2 linked regions of the Arabidopsis thaliana genome follow. The protein of the gene in region 2 interacts with the protein of the main gene of each other region in a pairwise test. Each region holds a gene or a part of one and is shown on either strand. Other genes may lie near its edges.

Evidence for each region. The genes of interacting proteins can lie anywhere in the genome.
Region 1: the proteins of ETL1 (region 2) and TRFL9 interact in a protein complementation assay, tested with the Arabidopsis thaliana proteins (one study listed by BioGRID).

What each region holds. Positions count from the first base shown.
Region 1 is NC_003074.8:3,981,380-3,987,326, forward strand, and holds TRFL9 (TRF-like 9), read right to left. Parts: upstream 4,247-5,947; 5' UTR 3,904-4,246; intron 3,526-3,903; exon of another isoform or gene 3,489-3,525; 5' UTR 3,470-3,488; coding exon 3,389-3,469; intron 3,317-3,388; coding exon 2,602-3,316; intron 2,511-2,601; coding exon 2,337-2,510; intron 2,174-2,336; coding exon 2,094-2,173; intron 1,992-2,093; coding exon 1,756-1,991; intron 1,647-1,755; coding exon 1,341-1,646; intron 1,247-1,340; coding exon 1,183-1,246; intron 1,097-1,182; coding exon 893-1,096; 3' UTR 501-892; downstream 1-500. UniProt on the Arabidopsis thaliana protein: Binds specifically to the plant telomeric double-stranded DNA sequences. At least 2 repeats of telomeric sequences are required for binding. Induces DNA bending.
Region 2 is NC_003071.7:521,630-527,642, reverse strand, and holds ETL1 (SNF2 domain-containing protein / helicase domain-containing protein), read right to left. Parts: upstream 4,421-6,013; 5' UTR 4,163-4,420; coding exon 3,578-4,162; intron 3,382-3,577; coding exon 3,264-3,381; intron 3,184-3,263; coding exon 3,143-3,183; intron 3,059-3,142; coding exon 2,808-3,058; intron 2,739-2,807; coding exon 2,558-2,738; intron 2,449-2,557; coding exon 2,263-2,448; intron 2,178-2,262; coding exon 2,004-2,177; intron 1,922-2,003; coding exon 1,763-1,921; intron 1,672-1,762; coding exon 1,594-1,671; intron 1,497-1,593; coding exon 1,360-1,496; intron 1,270-1,359; coding exon 1,051-1,269; intron 922-1,050; coding exon 759-921; 3' UTR 575-758; downstream 1-574. UniProt on the Arabidopsis thaliana protein: DNA helicase that possesses intrinsic ATP-dependent nucleosome-remodeling activity and is both required for DNA repair and heterochromatin organization.

The sequences.
Region 1 (5,947 bases), on a different chromosome or scaffold from region 2:
TATTTGCATTTACCCGGTACACTCAAAAATCCCAGCTCTTTGGAAGTTTGCCTCTTTGCTTACATAGTTGTATTTTCGAATTTTGCTAATCTGAGGTCTGTACTTTGCAAGTTGCAGGAGATGGAAAATAAGTTTAGCGTGTAAAGGATGTCAAAATGCAAGGTTCAACAATTGTCTCTCGTCTTTGATGCAATATATGGGTCTTAGAATTGCGAAGTAGGTGTAAATTAGAGGAGGATGGCGTCACATTGGGACTCGAAGTTGAAACTATGTTTCTACACTTGACGGTTCAACATTGTAGGAAACTAAGTAACAAACATTGTTAGATGATTCTAAACCTTAGAGAAGTTTATGAATTTGTGAAGAAATGAACACTTTGGCTTAGTTAAGAGTCTTTCCACCAATAACAAACACTTAACTGTGTCTAATATTCCAAAATCACAGAGCAGCAGTATTTCTTATCTTTCAAATTGGGTTATTCACATTTTGTCAAAGATATCTGTCACAATATCACTCTCATCTCTCATGTGTTTTATTGAAAAAAAATTAAAAAAATTGAACGAAATAATGAAGAAGGTTTGACCTGTCACTTGTCAGAAAGGATAGAACATAAAAGAATGTATAAAATTACAAGATCCCTTTTTATGGACCGAAATTATTACACAATGTAATCAATGTTGAAAAAACAAAGATAGAACCTAAAAATTTGGTTAGGGACGAATCTCATCCCAGTTGGAGTCATTTACAGATGCCAAAGCAAGGAAAAAAAAAGTGTATGTAGGAGAAAAAAAAAAACGAGAAATAAAGACAATTAAACTTTGCAGAAATTGAGTTGTCCATTTATTGTGTTGTTTGCTTCTGTACACCCACCCACCAATGCGTACCTCCTTTTTTACACTGAAACACCTGATTCAAAAGCTCCACCTCTGTTCATGTCTGGATCTTTGGACGCTCCTCTCGCCTGATGTTTTCCTTGGTGCTGCGACCAATACCCGTATGCCCTCAAGACTCTGTCTAGCAGTTCTTGTGGCACCGGCTCTCCTCTTCGTTGCTGTGGGGATATACTTGCTGTGTGAACTAGCGTCTTCCATTTGTCCTGCATATTCACATGTTCTTGAGATATTAACCTGACTGTAAGACGTGATATGTTCCAGATTACATGTTTGTGTCTGATGTGTTTACCTTCAAGTCCACGTAAGTCCGATGATCTGCATCCTCGAAAGCACGCAATTTTACATCACGCCATCTGTGTGATCAGATATATCGACCATTAGCTTTTGAGCTTTGACATTATCCCACGACCAAACTACATGAGTTATGAAAGAACTAGTGTTATATACCTTCCAGTCCCGAGTTCCTCAACTGCTTGTACAAGAGCTTCTACCTCTGTCACAGAGAAGGGTCTCCTAGTTCTCCTCTGGGCTAGCTCAGTACGCTTAGGTTTCTGGTTCAACGGAACTATGGCAAGCGCCTTGACTTCCAACTCTGGAAGTGGGACAAGCTCTTTTGAATCTGATGAAGGTTCATCAACAGATATGTCACCCTGATATGGAACTAATTCGAGGTTACTGTCCACAATATTTCTTGAATCAATCACGTCATCTGCATGTGGAATTCCAGAATCTAGCATAGGAGACGCCGCAGACCTGGGATGATAATTCAGAACCGCTTTTGCTTAGGAATCTTCAAGAAGAATGAACACCAGTGATATTCAACTAAAGCAGCACAAGGATATGATAGCGAATTTCTTAGTACCGTTCAGACAAACTTGTAGGGTCGGTTGGCACAGCAGGATCTTCAGAACACAAAGGTAGGGGAACTTTGCTGGGACTAGGCTCCAAGGTGAACCCAAGGTTGTCTAGATTTTCATCACATGAGATCCCAGTCTGGGACAGAGTTTTCCTTTCATCTCTAACCTTCTTCCCATGCATTAACACCCCAACACGTATTCCTCCGCTGAGTAAAACACTGACAGCCTCCATCACAGTCCTCTGCAACCAAAAGGGTCAAAGAGCAAAATGGTAATTTGTTAACACCTCAATGTCCACACAAGAGAACCAAACAAATGTGAAGAAATACATATTGGCATATACCTTTAGTGATCCTACTGTTGCAGTTTCTGGAACTTCAATAAAAAGCTCTGGAATCCTAAAGGACTTAATGCTTAGCTTTACTGCACCAGAGATAAAAATACATGAGAACCACATTATCCTGTCTCCGGATAAATGTCTCAGTATCATTTACCATCCAGTCAAGTACCATGGGAGCCTTTTGAGAGGACCACAACAGCTAAGATAAGATAACTGAAGAGTTTTGAGATAGACTACAATAACCACCTGTATCTCCCTTCTTGGGTAACTTGGAAACACTTCCACTACTGAGTCCTCCATCAGAAGTTACGACCGAGCTTCTGTCAGGTGATCTTCTTCTCTTATAAATGATCTCACGCTGCCATGCGTTGTAACCATAACATGATTTTCTTTTGCGATAAAGAGTCTTCACACCCACATCTAGACATCCATGTTTAAAGTAAGAACAGGGTGAATCACAAAAAGAAGAAATGTGTTCAAAGATAAGTGAAGCAGGCTGTGTTATACTTACCAGCTCTACTGTATCCAAAATCTTTTGGAACTTGTTTCCAGTATTTGGACGACATGGACTTTCTTATTCTTCGAATTGTTGGAGACCTATACGACTTAAATTTATTGCTAAGTTTATGGTAACTATAGAATTTTTCATCATCATCTTTTCTACCTAGGTTAGTATGGTTCCCATGTCTAGCATAGGAACCATTAGGGGTCATATCCAAGGTGGATGGTGATTTTAAATCACCACCCACACAGACTGATTTCGGAAACTGCAGACCTAACGCAGTTGCATCCTCTAAGTTGCAAGTATCAGTGACTAAGCCTCCATCACCCACGCGATCGGTTGCTTCTCCTTGCTCGAACCCATTATTTACATTCTTGTTTTCACACCCTACATCCATCAAACCATGAATCTTCTTGTAATCAGACATCGGAGTCCGCTCCAAAACGCCGTCACTATCCGGAAATGAAAAACAACTGTTCACCACACACTTCTCAGTAGAGATATCATAAGTAGGCTTTGACACAGAGTTTCCTTGGTCAGAAGACTCAGATTTAATAGTCTTGCAATTTTCTACTTTCTCTTGCTTAATTTCTTCAAATGCATTAGAAGACGCAGAGGAACTCTCGCTTTCCTGTAGAATCTTTCCAGCCAAAGCTAGTAAGTCAATTGCACAGATCTGAGTGTTATCATCATCATGATCAATCCTCTTGTTTAGAACCTTCCTCTGGAAAAAAAGATTCATCAGAAGGCAAATTCATGACATTGAGCTAACAGATCCAGATGAATCAAAATTTACCCTGCATGAACGAGGAGCTCTGGGAATGTTGGGAAAATCAAATCCCACGGAAAGGCAATCTAACTTTCTCTTGAACACCATCTCTCAAATATGCATATCACTAGCAACACAAAAACAAAACAGAACAGAACAGAACACTGTAAAGAATCAGAAAGTAGCAACAAGAATCATAAACAGTAAACACCAATTTAGATCAGATCAACACGACCAAATCCGAGCCTTTGATGTAAGAAAGACACTGAAACAAGAAATGGATCACGCAAATGGAAAAGCGTTGGTAAAATTGAACAAGACTCAAATGCTAGAAGCTGCTTACAAATTCAATTATAAGATTCGAGACAAGATGAAAAGAAACAGTAACCTGATCAGATCTCGAACAAATTATTTCGACCCGCCAAAGAAATTTAATGGAAATTTGAAAACCGGATCAGAGTCAAAGGATCAAAAACCACCCAAAACCCCAAGAATTTTACAGATCGGTAAGTGAACAAGTCAATTGCGATGAAAAAACTCACCTATCAGCCACCAGTTTCTTGATCACGATCGCGAACCACTTATTATTACAGATCACGCTATCTTAAAACCCAAATTCCCCCATACCCGATTTGTGTGTTTTATGTATATATAAAACAATGTACAAAGGAAAAATTAGAATCGATTTATACAAAAACTCGAGATTCTAAGATTTAAAAGAAATGAAGAATTCTCGAGTTATTTTTTTTTTGTGTGTGTTGCGGTAAGAATCCGTCGTTGTCTTTAGAAAAGAAAGAAGGAAGATGACGTGAAAAGCCCCATTGAAACAGAAACCCCTTTTTTTATAATCATTCTTGTAAATTAAAATAAATTAAAAAAGTTTTTATTGACCACACAAATAACAACGGGTTTGAGATGAGGCAGTTGTTGTAAACCGGTAAACCGGCTATTGACGGTCACCCTTGTAAATTTATGGTAAAACACTAAAACCCCTCTCTCCGGTTAACAGGCTATTGATGGTAACCCTCTCTCTCCGGGAATCATCAGTTCATAACCCCTTAAAGAAGATAGGTTTGTCAGAAGAATCTTTATTTTAGGGATCGGATAAAAACAATACAACAGTGCTGTTTGTGATTGGAGTGGGGTCCTTTTTAATATACTAGTACTACAAAAGCTGTCTTTATCTTCCACGTGGGTAGAGAAAGCCTGTGACAACTCCATTGCTTTGGTAATAACGTCGTCACAAGGTTTTTTAAGTGTTCATTCAACTTGAGTGATAACATGAATTTCTTGATGAGATTACATGTTGAAGCATGTGCTAATGGGGCCAAAATGAACGTGTTATGTGTTTTAAGGTATTTTGTGAATGACAATGTTCGCGCCAATCTTATGGCTATTTTAGTGGGACTAAACTACTAAAGCATATGCTTGGCTAATTAATGTAATGAGAATCGAAATGGGTTGAATCAAACATAAATTTATGGCCGGCTGTTGAATCGAATTGTTTGTTTAATTATGTCCGTCTTGGACTTCTGAGAGTGTCTGTCTACTTCTGTGGCTGGCCTTGGAGACTTGGACCCTTGTAAATTATAACCATTCATGAATATGGGCCGCATGACGATTAGTAAATGGGTCGGATCGGACCATTCTATTGGAAGAGGTACAAGGAAAATGATCAGGCATACTACATACATTCTCCACAAACATGGACTAATCATTCTATGTTCCTTCTCTAATAAAGCTTTCACTGAATTCATGATTAGTATGTAAACCATCGTTGATTACAGTTTTATAATAATTAGACGTTATATATTGGGAGAATGTATGCATGCATGAAATATTTCAAAAATTCATATATAGATCTTGTTGTATCCTAGCTCGTTTCACTTTTAGTTTGTAGTTTGTACTAAACAAATACTGAAATACACATGCATTTCTTTCGCTTTATATAAAAACATATACACATGCTGCATGCACTTCAATCATATTGAAATCTCTAATTGGTACATTTTCGTACGATTTGTTGATATACTGGATTCATAGGTAGGTAAGTGGATTTATTTAAAAAGGCCAAATTTAGAAGAAAAAGAAAAGAAAAGAGAATTAGAAGGCAAGATATATATATATATATATATATCTTGCGCGGTTGCATGGTTAAGCATCAAGGCACAAAGGGACAACAACGACATTCTATAAAGAAAAAAGACGAAGCATCAAAAGGGGTCTACGGAAATTCAACATGGAGTATGGAGCTTAAAGATTTTTTCAATAAACCCATATAGTTTTATTATGCTTTTGTATGTTAGAACCTTGAAAACGTGTGGTGCCAAATAAGGAGAATAGTTTTATAACAGTATTTCTTACTTTAATGTTTATTTAATAAATTTAATTCTGAGTTACTTTGCTAAATTTTTTATTTTATCGAATTTTAAGATGAGCGTGTTAATATAGTTATACAAGTTTTTTCCCTTTCTATTCATTTATGTGACTTTTGTATTCATGAAATTTTTAAGATAGAACTACAATTTGAACGTATTAAGTAAGTGTCACAAGCTATAAAAGTTTGCTTGTGGATTAAAGAATTGT
Region 2 (6,013 bases):
ACAAGTTTCCGGTTGGCCTTAGTTTTCAGGTTCAATTTTAAGTGTAAATTGACCATGAGAACACCTTCAAAACGTGACTTGGCAATGGCAGTTACCACAAAGAATCCAAACTTAGTATGGCTTTGATTTACTAGTGAATTATTTTGTATAGTCATATTCAATTATTTAATCGCAATAATATAATCATGAATTTGAACATTTTCATAGATATTTATCTTCAAATGTAGCAAAAAAAAAAGACTATCTAGAATTTATTCCAAGTTATCTAGAATTTTTCAGCTAAGAAAAACTTATACTATGTGACATTCTTGAACCAATCCTAATAGAACTAGTTGTTCATTGTTAGGTTTCGGCAAAGACAATGGGAAAACAATCTAGTGAGATTTGTGTCTTATACAACTCTGACGAATAAAGATACTTGAGACCTTTAATCATTGCGTGAGGTTTTCAATTTTGATACCTACAAATACAGCTAAGTCACTCCTTTATACAATCTTTGATGATCGAAGACTAAACTATCCTGAAGGTTCACTTCATTTGATCACTGATCCACATTTTAGTGTTTGGAACAATTGTGACTTTTAGGTCTAAAGAAGGAAATTTTTGGGTTATAATTTACATGCGTAGAAGAAAATATAACTATCGTGATCTATTAAATTTAAGTCTAATAATAGCTAGTGGTTACACATGTTTAGAATAACACATTAACTTCGTTTCTTGACTAATTTTACCTCAAAACAAAAAAGGTAACAATAATGTTATCCCATGAGAAGAGAAGCAAGAATCTCTCCCATGGTTTTCTCAGGCGTGTCTCCGTTGTCATCTACGTGAACTCCGGACTCTAGAACCGCCGCATCAAGAACTAGTTTCCGCTTCGCTATCTCGTAGATGTTCTCATCAACCGTCGATTTCGTCACCAGTCTGCACCAGCATTGCCAGAGTTAATACAGATATATGTGAGAATACAAAACAGAGCACACATAAACCAATCCAAACCACAATTTTGTTCTGAAAGTTATCTAAACTGATTCAAGGATTTAAAGCTCAAACCTGAAGATAGTGACTGGTTTTGTTTGACCAATACGATGGCAACGATCTTCAGCTTGCCGATCAATCTGTGGATTAAAATCCATATCGTGAATAATGACTGTATCCGCTCCGGTTAAATTAAGACCTTGTCCACCTGCTCGAGTTGACAAGAGACATGCGAATATCGACTTATCGTTGTTGAATGTGTCGACTATGGTTTGTCTATCTGTAACTTGAGTACTGTTGAAAACAAAAGGAAAATGACTTAAGCTTCTTCCTTTTTGTAGAATCGTCAAAAATGTGACAAATTACTCTTTTTTCTTTTATTACCTGCCGTCAAGTCTTCGGTATGTAACGCCGATGACATCAAGTGTCCATTCTAAGATATCGAGCATCGATGTCCATTGACTAAATATTAGAACACGATGGCCGGATTTCTTCATTGAAGGGAGAAGCTCAGCTAATGTCTGATACATAAAGGGAGATTTAGATCGCTCACAGGTTTAGTTATACTTAATCAGTTTCACAAAGAAGACTTATGAAATGAAGAAGAATATCACGTACCCGACATTTTGCTGAGAGCATGACATGTTTGTCTGAGAGAGTTCCTTTGGTATCGTTAACTCCATATTGGAACAAAAGCTATGGAAAGAAACAAGTTAGTTAGCTTCTTCAATTGCATAACATGTTTGTTAATGGATATTCAACTGCTTTTGGAAAGAGAAACATTTACCTGGTGGATACGGAAATCGTTGAAACCCTTAACTTCCTCGATAACTCTATCCAAGGAACATTCAAATCCAAATGCACCGATTGGGTGCAATTTCCTGGCGATGCGAATGACATCCTCATCGCTGTATATCCGCCTAATTAACAATGGATGGTTTGCAATCTGTACAACCAAAATTTAATAACACATGAATAACACACTCATTTGGCACAAAAGGGGCTTTGTATTAGTAGCTGAGAATTACCTTCCGGAATTGAGTAAAATAGTTTGAAATTTGACGCTTTGGAAGTGCCTTGGCTAAAGAATTCAAGGATTTTGATGAAAGCTTCACAAGCCGTGCTTGAGAAGCAGCACGATACTCCTCTATGGCTTCTTTATATGCATCTTCCTGCTTTCTCTCCATTAATACATATTCAACCTGCATTGGATTGATGGGAAATTAATGAGATTTGCAGCTAGAAGATTAATATCGTGTACTTAATTGTGCATAGATATATCCATACCCGCTGTATCTTCGGAACAAGTTGCTGCATGACATCAGATTTTAAACGCCTCAAGATGAAAGGACCTAAGATAGATTTCATTCGAGTAATCAACTCAGTATCTTCTGCATTCAACAACTTCTTCAAGTCAACATTCTCTGTCGTAAATATATCAGGCAACATGAACTCCAACAGCGACCATAGTTCCTGCATAGACCAAACATATGCAGGGAATAAGCATTGTATGACCACATGAAGAAATGTCGTCTATATTAGGTAATTAGATCCTGAAAAAATCAACAGAAACCAACCGTACATGCAAATCATTTTGTAGAGGCGTTCCTGTAAGCATAAGACGCTGGTTTGCGTTTCTGGCCACAGACATCAAGTTTTTCCACCTATAACTATTCTTATCCTTTAACGCATGGGCTTCATCCATCAAAACACAGCTCCAGCGCCACCGTTTCAGTACTTTTCGGTCATCTTTCTGTTGTTCACTGTAAAATTCCAACATCTGTGAGTAACAGGAAAAGCCAAAAAGCAAATAAAAGCATCAAGAGTTGCACCTATGCCGTTCAAACAGAGAGTAACACACAAGAAGCACATTGAATGGTGGTGGCTTCCCAGCTTTTGACAAAGAATTCAATTCTCTTGAGTAGGCTGCTCTCGCAGCTCCGTGGTATTGAAGTACAGTAAACGACGGACACCATTTTCTGAGCTCTCTCTCCCAGTTTTCCAAGACAGAGGCAGGGCATACAACCAAATGAGGACCAGGGTCATTGTTTAAGCGACTTAGGAGGGTTAAATATGTGATTGCCTAAGGTAAATGAGAACAAAATTAGTTCTTTATAAGATAAAGAAACAAAGAAAACTTATCCAGTAATAACAGAGCAAAATGCACCTGAATGGTCTTTCCAAGACCCATCTCATCGGCTAAAATGGCTACAAACAATAGAAAGTGAGTTACAAAGTGACATTCACGCTAAAAAGGTTTACAGATCGAAACTAGTAAAAACACATACCTCCTTCAATTCCTTTCTTATACAACAGAAGAAGAAAGTTAACACCAACTAACTGGTACGGCTTGAGTATAGGCTGAAAATCAGAATCCTCTGCTTTACATGCATCATCAATATCATTCTGCGATCATCACAGATTCAACCCAAAAGTAAACAAGTTTTAGTTAACAAAACAGTAAACTCTAACCAAACCAATCAAAGCTTACCACCAAAATATGCTATCTAATCAAAAGTTACTTCACAATTGTATAAGGAAGACACTCTAAATCGTCTCAAAGCAACTACTTTAAGAACACCAAAGTGATAATTTCCAGTACCTGTGTGACAATCCTGACAGTAGAAGTTTCAACTTCAGAGTATCTATCAGTAACACCAGAAGAAGTACCATAAAGCTCTTTTCGAAGATCCGCTGAGATTTTAGCACACTTTTGCAATGCCTTCCCCACAACATCTTCATCTTCTCCTCTCCTTCCTCCACTTCCTCCTCCTCCTCCTCCAAATTCATCCTCACTAGCACTACTCTCAGCCTCATCATCATCATCATCACTCGCTTCTTCATCTTCAATCACAAATCTCCTACCAACTCTCGCAGCGCGCATCACAACCTTAGTCTCTTCCACTTCTTCTTCATCCTCTAACAACAAATCCTCACCATTCACAATCTTCACATCCGAATCCGAATCTCCCAAATCCTCAATCTCAACACAATCACCATCGCTGCTATTACTCTCAATCGTCATCGCCGTCGAAGGTCTCCTAAACGCAAAAGACTCAATCGACGGCGTTGGATTCGTCGCCGCGCGAGTCTTCTTCGGAGTCCGTGGTCGTTTAAGAACTCGCGAAGCGTTAAACGAGTGTTGAGACCACTCTTCCTCGGAGATTTCGTCGAAATCGCGTTTCATCTTCCGAGAATTTACGAATCCCAGATTGAATTGAAATTGAGAAGAAGGGGAAAAAAAATTCACATGAAGAAAATTGAAAACCCTAGATTGAGATTGAAGTGACTATTATTGCATCGAATTGAAGAAGAAGAAGAAGATGAAATTAAAACGAATTTAGCGGAGAAGGAAGGGAAAGGTCAAGATTTCAAAGAAAGGTTAGAGACTCAACAACGTGTTGCTTCTTACAAAAGAGCGGCATCCTCCAAAAGCTATGCGCGCGGACTTAATCTCTTAATGGGCCCCAAGAAATGGGCTCTAATGAGTACTTAATGGTGAACTTAAGGGATCCGAAGAAATGGGCCCAACGACTTCACTTTCTCGACAAATCTAAAAGCTTGTGGTTTGTTTGACGCACTTGAAAAGGGTTTTTAAATCCATGGGGTTTGCTTGAAGATTTGGTTTTGAAATGATGGTTGAGGTGAGAAATTATTTGGTTGACATGTATTCATAATGTGGAAGAATCTGAGAGTGTGTTTCGTTGGATGGTGGATACTGGATAGGAGTCTTATAAGCTGGATATGTACATTGAGGGGTATGGTAATAGAGCTTTGGCTACGTTTGGAATGTTGCGGTAAAGATAACCTCGTCGTTCTCGATCTTAATCCTCATTCTACAGGTTATTATCATTTGTATATATATGTTTACTAGCTAATCCATTAACTCTGAAAATTAATATTAACTCTCGGAATGGCAGAAACAGAGTTGTTATTGAGTTTCTCTGACCTTGCCATCTTGGTGACGGCAGTTTCAAATACTAAATATTTCCATACAATTTTGGTTCATCTAAAACAACTGGGTCTTGGGCTGTTTGTGGTATATCTCTCCTTATATAGGCTCTTTTGTGTGCGTGACTGTGTGCTATTTCATATTACTAACTTGAAATCATATTACAACCCAATCAGGGAGGCCCTGATTGAATATGGCCCGGCACTGACCCATTGCAGTTGGTACGATCTCAGTATAACTTAAAAAGCATCGATGGTAATGAAGAGAGGATCAAGTTGAGAAGTCACCTGTTACTTAAATATGTTGTCGTTTGTAAACTAAAATAAAACTAAATTGTATAAGATTAAAAAGCCCAAGTGAAAAGGAGAAAATCAAACTTTACGGTCGAATAATAATATATCAATAATATTTTCTCAAAGCTCTTAAAGTGATATTGGAGATTTTGTGATATATCGTTTTAAAATCTATTCAGATCGGTTGAGAGTTGGTTACTCGTTCAGGATTAATTAGGTTTGATTCAAAACCAATCGGTTCGATTGTTTTGCATTGAACATTCTGAAAGGTTGAAGAATTGAACCAAAGAAGAAAAGCAATATATTAATTTTCATACAAGAATCTAACAAATTTTAAAAAATTCTCTATTGATTGGTGTATCATGTGTATTAATATACGATATGTTATATTATAAACGATTTTATTAGATAAAAACAATTAAAAAAAAGTTAGTACAACAAAACCTAATCAAGTTAAATGAAGAGAAAACGAGGGTTTTGTCTTAAAGCTCACCAGAAAGATACGAATGAGAAAAATGTGGTACCCACAACACACCCCCGCATGTGGACACATTTCACCGTTTTAACAGTGACACCCAAACCGTAACCATCCTTCTTAATTCTGTCAAATTAAATTATAAGAAAGAAAAAAAGTAGCTTTATTTTATATTAATCGAAATAAAATAAAATGATAGAGACAGAGAGGGGACCTTAGAGACATACTTTTCAAGATCATTTCATATATGGCTTATTTTTAAAAGAAGAAGAACACAAAACAGTAGAGAGAGAAAGAGATATAGAGATAGAGAGAGAT